2 linked regions of the Mus musculus genome follow. The main gene of each other region encodes a partner of the protein of the gene in region 2 in a complex. Links are inferred from orthologs where the notes say so. Each region holds a gene or a part of one and is shown on either strand. Other genes may lie near its edges.

What was found.
Region 1: Fam8a1 (region 2) and Ube2j1 share a complex: the UniProt entries of both Homo sapiens proteins name them as parts of the HRD1 complex. The link is inferred for Mus musculus from reciprocal best matches to the Homo sapiens genes FAM8A1 and UBE2J1.

The regions. Positions count from the first base shown.
Region 1 is NC_000070.6:33,039,310-33,046,658, forward strand, and holds part of Ube2j1 (ubiquitin-conjugating enzyme E2 J1), read left to right. Parts: intron 1-1,423; coding exon 1,424-1,508; intron 1,509-2,046; coding exon 2,047-2,152; intron 2,153-4,547; coding exon 4,548-4,677; intron 4,678-5,770; coding exon 5,771-5,890; intron 5,891-7,349. UniProt on the Homo sapiens protein: Catalyzes the covalent attachment of ubiquitin to other proteins. Functions in the selective degradation of misfolded membrane proteins from the endoplasmic reticulum (ERAD) and is essential for cells to recover from ER stress.
Region 2 is NC_000079.6:46,666,398-46,674,451, reverse strand, and holds the start of Fam8a1 (protein FAM8A1), read right to left. Parts: upstream 4,976-8,054; 5' UTR 4,867-4,975; coding exon 4,197-4,866; intron 3,244-4,196; coding exon 3,123-3,243; intron 907-3,122; coding exon 783-906; intron 200-782; coding exon 60-199; intron 1-59. UniProt on the Homo sapiens protein: Plays a role in the assembly of the HRD1 complex, a complex involved in the ubiquitin-proteasome-dependent process of ER-associated degradation (ERAD).

The DNA.
Region 1 (7,349 bases), on a different chromosome or scaffold from region 2:
CTGTGAAACAAGGTGTGCATCCAAAGCGCACACTAGCACAGCTTAGCTGTACTTGGGAGGATGCAGACGGCCTTTGTTTTAGAGTCAACTGGCAGGGCTCTGACTAGTGTGTGCCCTTTCCATTGTAGCACATAGGTTAGATATTGTCTTTGAAGTTTAGTTTTTGTTTCTGTCAAATGGCATGTTGTTGTGGCACATACAGACACTTCCTAAAGTTCCTGGCATCTAGAAGCTGCTTAATAAGCACGAGACCTTACTGCTAATTGTTGATATTGGTATAAGGCTCCCACTGACACATTAACTGGGAGAAACAAGCAGCTGAATAAGGGCTGGTATGTGTGGGAGACCTGTGTGCATACATGTGTGAGTGTGTGTGTACACCTGTGTGTATGCATGCATGCATGTATGTGTGCATACATATATCTGTGTGTATGTGTGTCTGTACCTGTGTGTGTATATATGTTTTGTGCATGCATGTGTGCATGTATCTGTATGTGTGTGCACTTCTGTGTGCATGCATGTATCTGTGTGTGCATACATGACATTTGTGTGTGTGTGTGTGTGTGTATGCGCTAGTGCTGAGCAGTGGGCAACAGCTCTTTTCCAGTAGTTAACCAGTGGATCAAGTGGCTTTAGCACACTGGAAAGCAGCCCTGCCCTCCTTAGTGGTCAGTATTGCCTCCTCCTTCACTTCCTTCCCTAAAGTCACTTCCAACTTTGATTCAGCAAATGTTTATGGACCATGACCCCAGGATGTGGGTGAAGCAGGACGGAGTTAGCCTCCTCCTAGCAGAGTGATGGTTCTGACCACGTGCCTGCCTCTCCTCACCTTCTTCCTTAACGTTGTGGTACTTCTCCTGTTCAGGCTTGCAGCTGCTTTTCATGTGTGAGAATTAGCTTCATTGGTCACCTCTGAAAGGAAAGGTGCCAAGAGGCTGAGTCTTTTCCTGATATCAAAAATCACGATCCGTGTTCTTCCTCGATTGTGTTCTCTCTAATTTAGTGGCATCATCCTTCTGAAAAGCCACTCCTGTCTCATGCCACCTCCCCACACCTTTTTCACCAACTAGTCAGGTGACTCTGGCCTTAGGTTTAACCTGTCCTTAATGTGTCTTACCTTTCGGCAAGTCTAGATCTGTAGGAGGCACAGGGCACAGCATCAGTAAATCTCTCTATGCTAACTCTTTAGCACTGTCTCAGAAAGGTACTGATAAACCTTCTACAAACAGCCTTTATTATTTATTCAGCATTTAACATGTATTTTTGAATGTCTATAAGAGGACAAAAAACTACGTCTAAATATTTAAGAAGATAATATTATCTTTAAAATTATTATGCATAAATAAATATAAACTACATTCATGAAAAGGATAAGGCATTAAATGGACTTTTGCAGCTTTAAATTGTGTTCTTTGTTTCTAAGGCTAATGGACGATTTGAAGTAGGCAAGAAGATCTGTTTAAGCATCTCAGGACATCATCCTGAAACCTGGCAGCCTTCATGGAGCAGTGAGTATCAGCGAATACAAGTGCCAGTTACTAGTCAGTTTATAATAGTGAATTACAATACATTTTTGAGATTGACGATGTTTTTGGCTAATATGTGACACCACTGAGAAATTAACAAAAATACTTTTCATGTGTGGGCTTGTATATGACTTTAATAACCTGCTCTGAAACCCTTCAGATCTTTTCCAGAGCTAACCTAATTTCTCTTAAGGTTTTACTTTGTGTGTTTGTGCACCTTTGTGTGCAGATGTGTGTGAGACCAGCAGCTGTTATGGGGTGTCTTAATTCTCTTTATTTTTTGAGGCAAAGTCTCTAATTGAACCTGGAACTTGAACATTTTAAGACTTTGTGGCCAAGCAAGCCCTCCTGACTCTGTGTCCCTAGCATGGGTTGCAGTGTACACTGCTGTGTCTGCCTGTTTTCCTTTCTTATAACATACAGAAAGCATGAGAGTGTTCAAGACCAAGTGTGGGTCCCCGTGCTTGCTCTGCTCCTACCCAGCTCCGTCCACTGAATGGATGTTCACTTTCTGTTTCAGTAAGGACAGCCTTGCTGGCCATCATCGGGTTTATGCCGACTAAAGGAGAGGGGGCCATAGGTTCTCTAGATTACACACCCGAGGAGAGAAGAGCGCTTGCCAAAAAGTAAGTTCCTTGTTAGCGCCGAGTACTATCTGGTCAACAGTGTTAAGTCTCTTTCTCTGCTGTCACCTTGGCTAAGGATCCAGTCTTAGAATTGTAGAAATCCAGTTCTGCAGGTTTCCTTGGAGTGACCAGAATATAAAAATGGATCTCATGATTATTATTAAGGATTAGTCCCAGGGTTCCACCCCATGTGAGGCAGGTACTCTGAGCTGTATCACCAGCCCATCTCTCTCAGTCTTTTAAAAGCAGCTGATGGGCTGACCTGGGTTTGATTCCCAACACTCACATTGTAACTCTAGCCCCATAGGCTCCAACTAACTCCTCCTTCTGGTTTCTGCGGGTACAGGAACACATGAGATGCACAGACATACATACAGATAAAACATCCATACACATAAAAATAATAATAATTAAAAAAAGTGAAAAATTGTATAGAGATTTGTTTTCCTCCAGTTGGGAGCCATGTCTCCTGGAAAGCATTGCTGGCCCTTTGTCCCCTGTTAGCTGGCATCCAGGTAGGACAACCCAGAGCCATTACTTATATATAGCTGCCTGAAAGACCAATTCCTGGGCTCGTAAGTGAATCCACTCTATTTTTGTAGCCACTTATATAGCTTATAGCAGACATTAATAAATGATCTGGGATAAAAGAAAGGTTTTCCTTAAGTAGTGATGTAGTAATACTGCCTTTTCAGGGGGTTTTTCTTTTTGGTGTATTTTCATCTATAGATCATAATAATTCATTAAATTCAAAGTATCATTTCCGTTTGGTAGTACTGAGATAACGGAATCTGTTTTTTGAGACAGGGTCTCATGTGTAGCCCTGGCTGTCCCCTGTTTAGGCCTAGCTGGCCTCAAACTCACAAGTTCTGGAGTAAAGGTGTGTTAACACCTGGCTATAAACTCTATTTTTAATTGGCTTCTTTCCTATTTTACATGTTTCTGATAAGAGATAAAGGAAACTTTTCATAGACTTTGAATAGGCTCATGACCTGTATTCTTGAGGATAGTGTCATACAGTAATAAAGTTTACATAAATATGCTGTCACTGTAGGTCTGAAGCTTATCTTTCTTTAGGTAACTTATTTTTTAAAAATGGAGTCTAAGCTGTTTTTTCTTTTTTCTTTTTTTTTTTACACTCCAGATTTTATTCCCCTCCCGGTCCACCCTCCAGCTGTTCCACATCCCACACCTCCTCCTGCCTCCCTGTCTCCATGAGGATCCCTACCCCCACCCCCCACCTACCCCACCAGACCTCTAAACTCCCTGGGGCCTCCAGTCTCTTGCGGGTTAGGTGCATCTTCTCTGACTGAACGCAGATCCGCCATTCCTCGCTGTATATGTGTTGGGGGCCTCCTATCAGCTGGTGTATGCTGTCTGTTTGGTGGTCCAATGTTTGAGAGATCTCGGGGAATTCAGGTTAATTGAGACTGCTGGTCCTCCTACAGGGTCTCCCTCCTCCTCAGCTTCTTCCTGCTTTCCCCTAATTCAAGCACAGGGGTCAGCAGCTTCTGTCCATTGGTTGGGTGTGCAGATATCTGCATCTGACTCTTTCAGCTGCTTGTTGGGCCTTTCGGAGGGCAGTCATGATAGGTCCCTTTTTGTTATCACTCCATAGCCTCAGTAATAGTGTTAGGCCTTGAGACCTTCCCTTGAGCTGGATCCCACTTTGGGCCTGTCACTAGACCTTCTTTTTTTCAGGCTACTCTCCATTTCTATCCCTGTAATTCTATTAGACAGGAACAGTTATGGGTCAGAGTTGTGACTGTGGTATGGCAACCCCATCCCTCACTTGTCTTTCTGCTGGAGGTGGACTCTATAAGTTCCCACTCCCCACTGTAGGGCATTTCATCTAGGGTCCCTCCCTTTGAGTTCTGAGAGTCTCTCACCTCCCAGGTCTCTGGTGCATTCGGGAGGGACCCCCACTTCCTACCTTCCAAGGTTGCCTGTTTCCATTCTTTCTGCTGGCCCTAAGGGCTCAGTCCTTTTCCCTCACCTCAAAACTAATACTGCCTTAATTGTCTCACAGCCTATATATGAGTATACTATGACATCATTAAGTAGTCTTTTCTTTTAGTCATTTGGTATTTAAGTATCTTTTTTTTTTGAGACTTATTTTTGGTTTATATTTATGGGTGTCTTGTCTGCATATATGTGTATATTTCTGTGCATCGTGTGTGTGTGTGTGTGTGTGTGTGTGTGTGTGTGTGTGTGTGCAGTGCCTGTAAAGGTCCCAAAGGGCTCCCTTCACACTTAAACTACAGATGGTTGTTACCTGCTATGTGGGTTCTGGGAATTGGACACCATCTCTCTAATCCTTATTTGAGTATCTTCATAGAAGGGAATTAGTATTCCGCTGTTTGGTTTATGCTCATTGTACATTGTATCCTACCAGATCGCAAGATTTCTGTTGTGAAGGCTGTGGCTCTGCCATGAAGGATGTCCTGTTGCCATTAAAATCTGGAAGTGGTTCAAGCCAGGCTGACCAAGAAGCCAAAGAACTGGCCAGGCAGATTAGTTTTAAGGTACTGTAAATTCCTAAACAGATCCACTTAAGGAGCCTTTTGTGTTTACTGCTGAATTCTAGCAAAAAGGAAAGTCATGTGTTTCTAGTGAAATGAGATTTTCTGAGTAATGTTTTCTTACTACAAGACATAAGCGACACTGAGCAGAGCAGTTAAAACTAGACTGGCATATACGACTGCACTCGGAGTCAGCTTTGCAGCTCACTGGCTGTGTGCTCACGTGCCAGGCAGTACTTCACCACCACAGCCCTTACCCAGGTTCATCAGAGCCTGGACTTCCTTGTGGGAGTTTGTCAGGCTATGTTAGTTAACACGGATACCACATGTATTATAGCTGCATTTAGATCTATCCCTAGTACTTTCTAAATTCTAGTTCTTTTTAAACAAAGTAACCTCACCTCCAAGATGTTACTGCTGTTAACATTTTGGCAGTTTCCCCTTTCTCCTCTTTTTCTGCATATTTTACCCAAACATAAAATTTATATACTATTCTAATACTTTGAGTATTCACACTCATGTTTCTGTATTCCATTGAACCTGTGTGCTGCTGTCTCCTCTTCTTTCCGTTTCTGCCCTCTGCCTGTTTCTAGGTCCCGTTCTTGGGAGTTTTCCCTTTAGTTTTAGCGTAGTCCCTGGAGGAGGAAGTATAAATCCTGATGCTGCTCCTTCCTTTCCAGGACTCCTATTGTACTTAGATCTTTCCTCTGGAGACCTTAGGCTCAGATGTGTTTAGAATGTCATGATGTTTCAGATGTGAGGAACACATGCAGCTTATGCTGACAGTTACAGTAAATCTGGTCAGCCTGGGACTGTTGGCTATTGCTACAGTCCAGCTAGCCTGACGAGCCTAAACGTTGTCCAAGCTTTAGTTTGTGGAGGTTCTTAGAATTGCAGGTTGGGAATCATTGGCGTTGTTCCATAGTAGGTAGCAGCTCCCTCAGGATGCAGTGTCCAGTGGAGCAGATGCAAACATGCACGGAGCTTAACTGAGAGTGGACAGGAAAGGAGCAATACAAATGGATTCAGGAGAGGGAGTTAGCTGATTGTTAACACAGTTCTTATAACACTGCTCTTGGGTGTATCTTATTTATAGGCCGAAGTCAATTCATCTGGAAAGACTATCGCTGAATCAGACTTAAACCAGTGTTTCTCACTAAATGACTCACAAGACGATTTACCTACAACATTCCAGGGTGCTACAGCAAGCACATCGGTATGGCTCTTATCTTTTAATACACACCACACACACACACACACACACACACACACACCACAACCACATACACATGTATGTGTGCACACACACCACATACTACATACACACCACACTTCACAACCACACATACACACACCACAACCACATACACATGTATGTGAGCACACACACCACTTACTACACACACATCACACTTCACAAACACACACACACACACATATACACACTTTTTTGGATTAAGATAAGATCATAGATCAAATATTGAAAATTATGTTTTTCTTAGTAGTAGGATTTTAGCCCAGCTGCCCCATTAATTACATTATTTTGAACAAATCTTTTGGACTTCAGTTTTTTTGATTTTTGTTGTTGTTGTTATGTGGGGTTAGACAAAATAGTTTCTAGGTTCTGTTTTTATTTCAGAATGCTGTGACTTCTTTTAAAGTCAGTGCTAACATTGTGCTAGCCTAGATAAAACATGCATATTAATAACTCTAATAGATACTAGGCACTGGCGAGAATTCCCTGAGCCACAGTCTTGTGTTGCTTAGATAGGCCTAGTAGTCTAGTGACACATGCTCTCTAAGTGTACATTCAGTCCGGGTTTAGTGAAGTCAGCAGTGTTGCCCCTCAGGCACACTGACTGTCCTGAGCACCCTGCAGTATGCATGCAGCCGGCCGGCAGCTCTGTGGAGAAGCATAGACACAGAGATTAAACTCTGTGCACACAGCCCTGTTGAACTGCTGCCGGTGTGGAGTCAGTGGCCGGGAATTGTTAGATGACAGAGTGAGTGTCTGAGGATAGCTCTGCTCTGACCAATCGCTTCAAAAAGTGGGTCAGCACAGGAAATGGGAGAGACCGATCACAAATAGTACTGGATTGGTGCTAACTAGAGAGGATTGTGAGGGGAAATGACTTAACAAGACGATCTTACTGTTTTGGAGTCCGTTTTGTTATAGCTTATTTGACTGGGAAACCACATCTTCTATCTCCCGCTCTGCTTCATAGAAGATGTTTATTGATTTAGTGAGGGAGTTGTGCACTTGCTACTATGTAAGTGCAGAGCGCAGAGGACAGCTTGCAGGTATCAACTCTCCATCCTGTGGGACGTGGCACTGAACTTAGGGCATCAGGCTTGGCAGCAAGCACCTTTATGCAACTAATCCACTTCACTGGCCTTATAGGACTTCAAAAGTCAGAAAACTGAAAAAGAAAATGTATCTACTATAAAGTGGGACTAAATAGCTTTGAGTTGCTTTCTTTCAGGGAGTAAGATAGATACATCAATATTCTTTAAATCTACCTTGTTACATATTCCAGTTATTTTAGTGATCATTTATTTTGTCATTAATTGTCTATGACTTTGTGCTTTTATAGAGTAAGTGGTCTAGGAAACTACCTGATGATAACTTGTGTTTACCAGTCTTACCAGTTTCCTGGGCCCACCCAGCGACTGAG
Region 2 (8,054 bases):
GGTGACAACTATAATGGTTTTGCAAGTATAAAGTAGATTAAGCTAAGCAAAGGACTTACGTAGTGATGCTAACATTTGAGGAAGGAATTACTAAAACCCGACTTGGAGCAATGAGTACTGATGTATCACATGTCACAACTCGAAGCCCTAGCAGGAACTTTCCTGGGGTAGCTCCCCCTGCTCCCCAAATGCAAATTATCTAAGGAAAAAAGGATAATTGGAAAACAGTTTACTAATTTTTCTAGTAAGTTACTTCATGCTTTATAAGAATGACATGTTGGAGGGCCAGGTATGGTGGCACACATCTTTTTTTAGTTCCAGTACTTGGGATTTCTGTGAGTTTAAAGTCAGCCTGGGATACACAGTTTCAAGCCAAACAGGGCTATAGAAAAAGGTACATCGGATGTGCTAATTACATAGAATACTAGAAACTTATCCATTTAAGCTGGCTTAGCACATGCCATCTCGGAACTCCAGAGGATGTGGAAAGATGACTGACATATTTGATACACAACACACACACACACGTCCGTAATATGTATATCTCTGAACTAAAATCTGCTTATGAATGAAATGTTATTTCTAAAACTGAAATGTATAACAAGGCATCTTTTTTCCAAAATTTAGTATTTAGGGTTTTTTTTTTTACTTGAAAGTGTTAATTTTAAAAATTATGAAAACTCAATGACAAATATTTACGAAATTTGTAAATTGTCATTTTTTTCCTAGTAGATAATTTAAAATACCATTAAAACGGTTACTTGCTCCAGTTAGCAGCTTACCTCATAGAAACAAACTAACAACCTGTATATAAGCGCCACAATCATCATTTTCTGCAGGTCTTCCATTGATGTGTCTTCATCAATCTCTTCTATTATATAGTGCATGGCAAACTTAGAGATGTCCCTGCACAAAAAGAAGGGTTTGGGGTTAGAAGGAATTAGCTCCTAAGTCAGTTTTGTACCATTTTCCCATAATTAGGTCATAAAATTTAAGTGAAATTCTATGCTATTAGGTTCTCACCAACAAAGTGCATAAAATACCCATTACTTTATTCAAAAAAATAACAAATACCTAAGTAAATTAAAGCAAAAGCATGGTTGTGATTGTGGGGTAGTTTGTACCTCAGTGGTAGAGCACTGCAGAGCAAATAAGATGCCAGCCCTGATGATAGGGCAGTGACTGGTTTGTAAACTCAAACTTAATTGGGAAACCTCAGTTAAGAAAATGCCTCCATCAGATTGGCCTGTAGCAAGTCTATGTGACATTTTCTTGATTAATGATGGATGTGGGAAGGGCCTAGCACACTGTGAGTGGTGCCACCCCTGCGCTGGTGGTCCTGGGTGCTATAAGAAAAGCAAAAGCAGGCTGAGTAAGCCATGAAGAGCAGCATTTTTCCATGGCTTCCGAATCAGTTCCTGTCTCCAGGTTCCTGCCCTGACTTCCTTCAGTGATGGACTACAAGCTGTAAAATGGAATAAACTCTTTCCTTTCAAAGTTGCTTTTGATCATGGTATTTATCACTGCATCAGAGGGCACACTGGCACAGCAAGGGATACTAAAAGTATCTCCTCAGCTTTCACAGAGATTCTAACCAAGCAAGGGAAATAGAACAAAAATAAACTGGGATGCCAACCAGAACACCACAGAAAACAGACCAGTCTTCTCAGAAATGACATTTCTAAGTGCACAATACAATACAAAGAATGAAGAGAAGCCAGCCAGACTAAGAAGCAGGAAGAAGCTCCAGGCAGGAGAGAAAGCCTTGGAACAAGTGATAGGGCTCAATTTCATGGTGTAAGGAGACTGAGGAGAATGTGGGCATGTTAAACCATGTAATGAAATTCAGACTTTATCTTGTCGGTAGAAACTACAGCAGCATGTTAAGGCTGGAGAGGTTAAGTTCTGCAGCTTTTTTCTGCCCTCCAAATAAATAAATGTAAACAATAATAATAAAGGCTGTGTTAGGGGACAGGCAGGAGCTACCCAACACCTGTCGGGGGCCCAAGGTTAACACTACTTTGTATCTTGACTTTTCTATCTTCTTTTCAATTCTGACATCGTCTCATAAACGTAAATAAGTGTCTCATAGAAAATGCTTAGCAATTGGGAGCAGGCATTATCCTAAAACTTGAGTTTCTCAAGTAAATGCCATACTTTGCATTGAATCTGCTCAACTGAAAACAACCCCACTGAAATTGATTACTAAGTCCACCTACCACAAGCTCTTTGTGCTCTGAAAATTGTGTGTGTGTATGTGTATACAAATGTATGCCATGTGTATACATGAGGCTGGAGCTGGAGTTAGAGGCAGTGATAAGCTGCCTGACATGGAAACTGAACTTGGAGCCTCGGGACAAGCAGTGAGCACTCTTAACCCCTGACCACCGACCCAGCCCCTCTGTGCTTTCATGGCAGAGCCTTCATAGGCCAATAAGAAGGAAACTAACACATTCCTGGCCCAAGAGAATGGTTAATAAAAAAAACAAGCCAGGTCTGAAGGCTTCTTTAACCTATTAAAATCTTTTTTGAGATAGGATTTAACTCTGGCTGGCCTTGAACTCACGGAGATCTGCCTGCCTCTGCCTCCTGAGTGCTGGAATTAAAGGAACATGCCACCAAAGCCTCCCTCCTTTTCCCTCAGATTTTAAACAACATACTGAAGTTCTTTGTTTCTTTCTTAAAACCAAGGGGCTTGTGGTGATAGCTCAGTGGGTAAAGTGTTTATATAAAATGTCAGGACCTGAGTGCATCCCCAGAATCCATCTAAAGCCCAGGACACCTATATACCTATGTAGCACTGAGAGGGAGGACCAGTGATCTTAGGGACTTGCTGGCCAGCTGGTCCAGCTGAGATGACAAGCCCCAAGTCAAGTGAGAGATCCCACCTCAAAAAAATATAGGAGAGATTAGAAGATAACCAAAGTAGACCTCTTGGTTACATATAAACACACTTAAAAACAACCAATAGGGAAACAAATAGAACTGGTAAAGATTTCATAGAGAAGTCTTGGTCTTGGACATCCATCCATTACCCAGAGTTACTCATGAGCATGTACAGAATTTACAAAACAAGATCCCTAAATGACAGCTCCAGAATTTTCTGACTGTTCTTAACTTACTTTATTCCACTGAGATGCATGATGCTCAAGACAATGGTTGCTTTTATAAAGAAGAGAATAAAGAAATCCACCATCTCTGCCATAAATCTGTGGGCCAAGGATGGAATGACATACTCTCTACCTGGAAATTGGGAAGAAGAAGAAAAAAAATGAGTTACACAAGTTTAAGAACCAAGCCAGATAAGAAAGCGGCAAAGTAAAGTCAAGGTCCAACTAAACTTTTTAAGATTATAGCTTTGCATCAGCCAACGGCAATGATCCCATCAAGAGATCCTGTTTCTAAAATATCTAATAATGAGCTGGACATGGTGAGCTATGCCTGTAATCCCAGCATTCCAGCCCCAGACTCAGAAGACTGGCTGCAAACTTTCCTACGGTTTGCTAAGACCAGTGACTACACATCATTTACTAGATGATATTCATGACCAATAGGCTTGAGGCCAGTCAAAGCTCTCTAGACTCGTTTTGTAATCATGTCAATCGCCTTTCAGTTCCACTGTCTTTACACGGCCCAAGTCTTGGTGATTTCTAGTATTCTAATCTCGAGCCTCCCAACAGCGGGCTTGCCACCCAAGGCTAGCTTTGGATCTTTCCAGAGCCTGAAGATTACAGAGAGGATGGTTTGATAAGCATACGTCTCTACACACAAGAAGGGCTAGTGTCAGGAGTAAGGGAACCTACTAGCCGTGCCAGGTCTTAAGGGAAGGACAATCAACATTGCTTCACAGTACGTTTTTAGAATTTAGGGCCTGGGCAAACCATAGCTGATGTATGTGGGAACTATCAATGGTAGCAGCAGCTCCCCGGTTATATTTTTTCAGGAGCGAGCATACTTGTTCAATGATCCTTCAAGAGACCCCTCTGGCTAGTACAGACCTGTCTTATTCCAAGTTTGAGGCTAGCCTGGCCTACATACTGTGTTAGCCTACACCACAGGGTGAGATCCTTCCAAAATGTTAGTGGTAGGAATGGCAGTGATTTTTTTTTTTTTTTTTTAAAAAGGACCTCGACTCTATCCCTCCTCCATCCTACCCAACACCCCCCACCCCACCCCCGCGCCAACCCCGATCTCACCTGCCTGCCGCCCGGTGTCGCTGGCAGTCCGCGCAGGGGCTGCAGAACCCACCCTGGTCCCGGGGGCCGCCCGGGCCGATGGCTGCACGTGCGGGGCCCGGGCCGTGAGGCCCGCGACAGCCGTCGGGGTGGCGCCGCCCGTGGCCGCCCCCGGCCCGGGCCCCGCAGCGCTCAGGAAGTAGAAGGGGTTGTAGTACGCCAGCTGCGGCGGCGGCGGTGGCGGCGGGGACGACGGCGTCGGCGGGGACGACGGCGAGGGGACGGCGGGCTGCGGGGCGGTGGCGGCGGGTGGTGGCGGGCCGCAGTAGGCGGGCAGGGCGGCCAGGCCGCTGTGCCAGGTCAGGTAGCCGCAGTAGGACTGCCACAGCCATTCGTGCACCTGCCGCGAGTACTCGCGCGCGCTCAGCCGCCCCGGGCCGTCCGACGCCTCGCAGTCTCCCGCCTCCGGAGGCTCCGCGCCCGTCTCCCGGCGCTTGCGGAGCTCGCACTGCGGCTCGGGCTCCGACACTGCCGAGGCGACGCTCGCGAGGGCCGGGGACCGGGGGGCGGCGGCGGTGGCGGCGACGGTGGTGGTGGGAGAGCCTGGCTCGGAAGGGACCGGCTCGTGGTCCCCGCCACTGCCATCCTGCTCCGGAGGGCGGCTCCGGGCTTCCTCGGGCCCCTCTGCCATCGTCGCCCCGGAGGCCCCCTCCGCGCTGCCTGTCAAGGCGCCGTCGCCCGCCCTCGGCGGCCCCTCCCCAACCGCTCGCTCGCTCGCCACCACAGCAGCAGTGGGCGTCAACAATCCGCCTCCGGAAGCGGAAACCCCACCTCTCCGGCGCGCCAGGCTTGGGGAGCCGGGCGGGCGGTTGGTGGTGCTTTGTGAGTTGGTTCCTGGGCTACGCGATGTTTCTCGGGGGTCCTCTGTGGTACGTTTTAATCATAAATTGTGGCATATTCGGTAACGTAACGCGTCGCGGCATCGCACAACCACGTGTGCGATGCCGAGGACGTGGTCCTGGACACTGTGAACGCATCCATTTAGGCTTACGTCTGTGAGGCATTCGCCACCACTCTTGAGAATTCTAATGAACTCCATTACCAAGGTCCCTAGAGAAGATCCTGTGGGGTTAGGACATGATTGTCCCTTGTGAAACTGCATCTGACTCACCAGAATTTCCACTCCTTCAACCACAGTATTTGTTTCTTGCTTAGCACCTTAGTCTGTGTATGGTTTCGTCTTCTTTTCATCTATATGCAGCCTCCCAGATACTGATAACCTTAATACACTTTGCTATGTTAATAAGCCCAGTTAGGGGTAGTTGTGTGACTTTGAATTCCCAGGACCATATAAGGAATCTACAAGAGCCAAATACTATGAGAATATTGAACGATTATTGTGCTGGCTAATTTTATGTCAACTTGATAGAGTCTAGAGTCATTTGAGAGGAGGCAAGACCAATTGAGAAAATGCCTCTGTAAGATTGGGCTGTAGGCAAACCTGTAGAGCATTTTAAATTAGTGATTGATGTGGAAGGGCCCAGCCCACTGTGGGTGGTACAACTCCAGGCTGCTGTTCTGGGTTCTATAAGAAGGAAGACAAGCCATGGGATGAGCATCAGCTCCTGCCTCCAGGTTCCTGCCCATTTGAGTTCCTGTCCTGACTTCCCTCAGTGATGGACTACAATGTAGAATTGGAAGCCAAATAAACTCTTCCCCAACTTGCTTTTGGTCCTGGTGTTCACCACAGCATGCCGCACCTAATGGCTTGAACATGACAGTGATGCCGAGAGTCAATCCTGTCTTTCCTCTGGGAGACAGAAAAGACATCACTTTTGGCCTTTAAGAAATTCATCTGCTTCAAGGGAAAATCTTCCATGAAACACTTGAACACCTATTCACGATCATCACTAGCAGCAGGAAACATAGCTCAACACCACCAGCTCTGCAACCTGCGACACTCCTTTCCCAGCTTCAGAGACCCTTATTTAGGTACAGACCAGATTCATTCATTCATTCTCTTCCTTTCTCCCTGTCTCTTTCTCTCTTCCCCTTTCTTTCCTTCCCTCCTTCCTTCCTTCTTTTTTATTTTTTATTTTTATTTTTTGAGACAGGGTTTTTCCATGTAGCTCTGGCTGTCCTGAAACTCATTCTGTAGACCAGGCTGGCCTCAAACTCACAGAGATCTTCCTGTCTCTGTCTTCTGAGTGCTGGGAGACACTCAGTAAAGGCACGTGCCACCACGGCCAGGCTGCAACCCAGATTCTTAAACTGTGCTGAAAAAAATAATCATAATGAGTTAGAGTCAAAGTTAGCTTATTCATAGGGGAAAGGACAGGCAATGGGGAACAAGTGTGGCCACTCAGGGAGGAATGCTGCACCTAATGGCTTTACCAGCAGCAGCTGGGGAGTGTCTTGGGGAATTTGACATTAGTTGGTAAAGCACTTGATCTATAAAGTTGAGAGAAAAATGGGCTATTGAAGGGGCACCAACTTCTCAAGACAAAGGTGATTTTATTACCCCAGAGAGGACAAGCAGGGGTAGGGTTGCGGTTGTCTCTGGATCAGGCAAAGACAGCAGTAGATGTCTCTGCAGGAGTGATCTTTTTAAGGAAAAAGGGGGAAATCTGTGCCAGGATGAGTTGTTAAGTCCCGAATGGACACATCAGCCAGTGTAGCTGAATAATGAATTTTGATTGCTGGACCTTGGTGTTTTAGTCAGGCATAAAGAAATAGCCAAATAAGGGAATGGACCTTGGTGGCTATCTTTAGGAATGTAACCTAACGGCTTAGTAAAGGAGAGGGAAGGGGAGAGGGCAAGACCTGCAGGTGCCATGCTTACAACACTTGGGCCTGTTAGAGAGCCCTTCAGTTATATTCATTTCCTTATGGAAAGGGGTTTCATACCTATGTGAGAATTTAAGATGGCCTATGACTGTACTAGCAGGCTTCTATGTAAGAAAGAAACATCTAAGACAAAACCATGGGTCATTCCAGGCCTATTAGTACAGGCATGTACTTCCAGTTACTCAAGAGCTTGAGGTAGGAGATCATAAACTCACAGCCAGCTCAGGTAACTTGCAGAGACTTCACACACACACACACACACACACACACACACAAGGTTAGTGACATAGCTCTTGAATATAGCTTACTTGCTGTGTACACTTTTCGTATAATGAAATCCTCAGACATTTAGGTCAAAACTCTTGTCTCTGACAGCAAGAGACATGACAATTCAGTGGGGAGAGGGAGGGTCCTTCTTCTTTCCCCCGTGTGTTCCGTGTGTTCCTTTCATATGGTTTACCTCGGACAACTTGGTTTCAAAATCAATTCTGAGGAAAGATTTTGTTGTTGTTTTGATGCCAGAGATAAAATTCAGTACCTTATGCCTTCTAGGCAAATTAATTTAAAAAATGTTGTAACTGTACTTAATGTATAATAAGAATTGTACAATAATAATAATTGTACATATATGATGTATGTGTATGGATATGCACGTGCTATGGTGCATACATGGAGGCCAGAGGACAACTTCGTGGGTTCTGTTTTCTTCTTCTACCTTCCTGTGGGCTCCAGGGGTCAAACTCATGTTTCCAGGATTAGGTAGCAATTATCCACTGAACCATCTCTGCCAGACTGCGAGACAGATTCCGCATCACTGAACCATATCCTCAGCTACTCAGACATTTTAATACTTAAATTAGAAGTCGTGCCAGTAGGGAGGCAGGAACAGCAGGAGTGGATTTAGAAATGTCTAAAATGAGGGTGAAATACAGTGATTATTGGGGATATGGACTTTATATTTCCGTAGTATGTAGCAAAGTAAAGACATTAAGTGGCTGGAGAGATGGCTCAGCGGTCAAGAGCACTGACTGC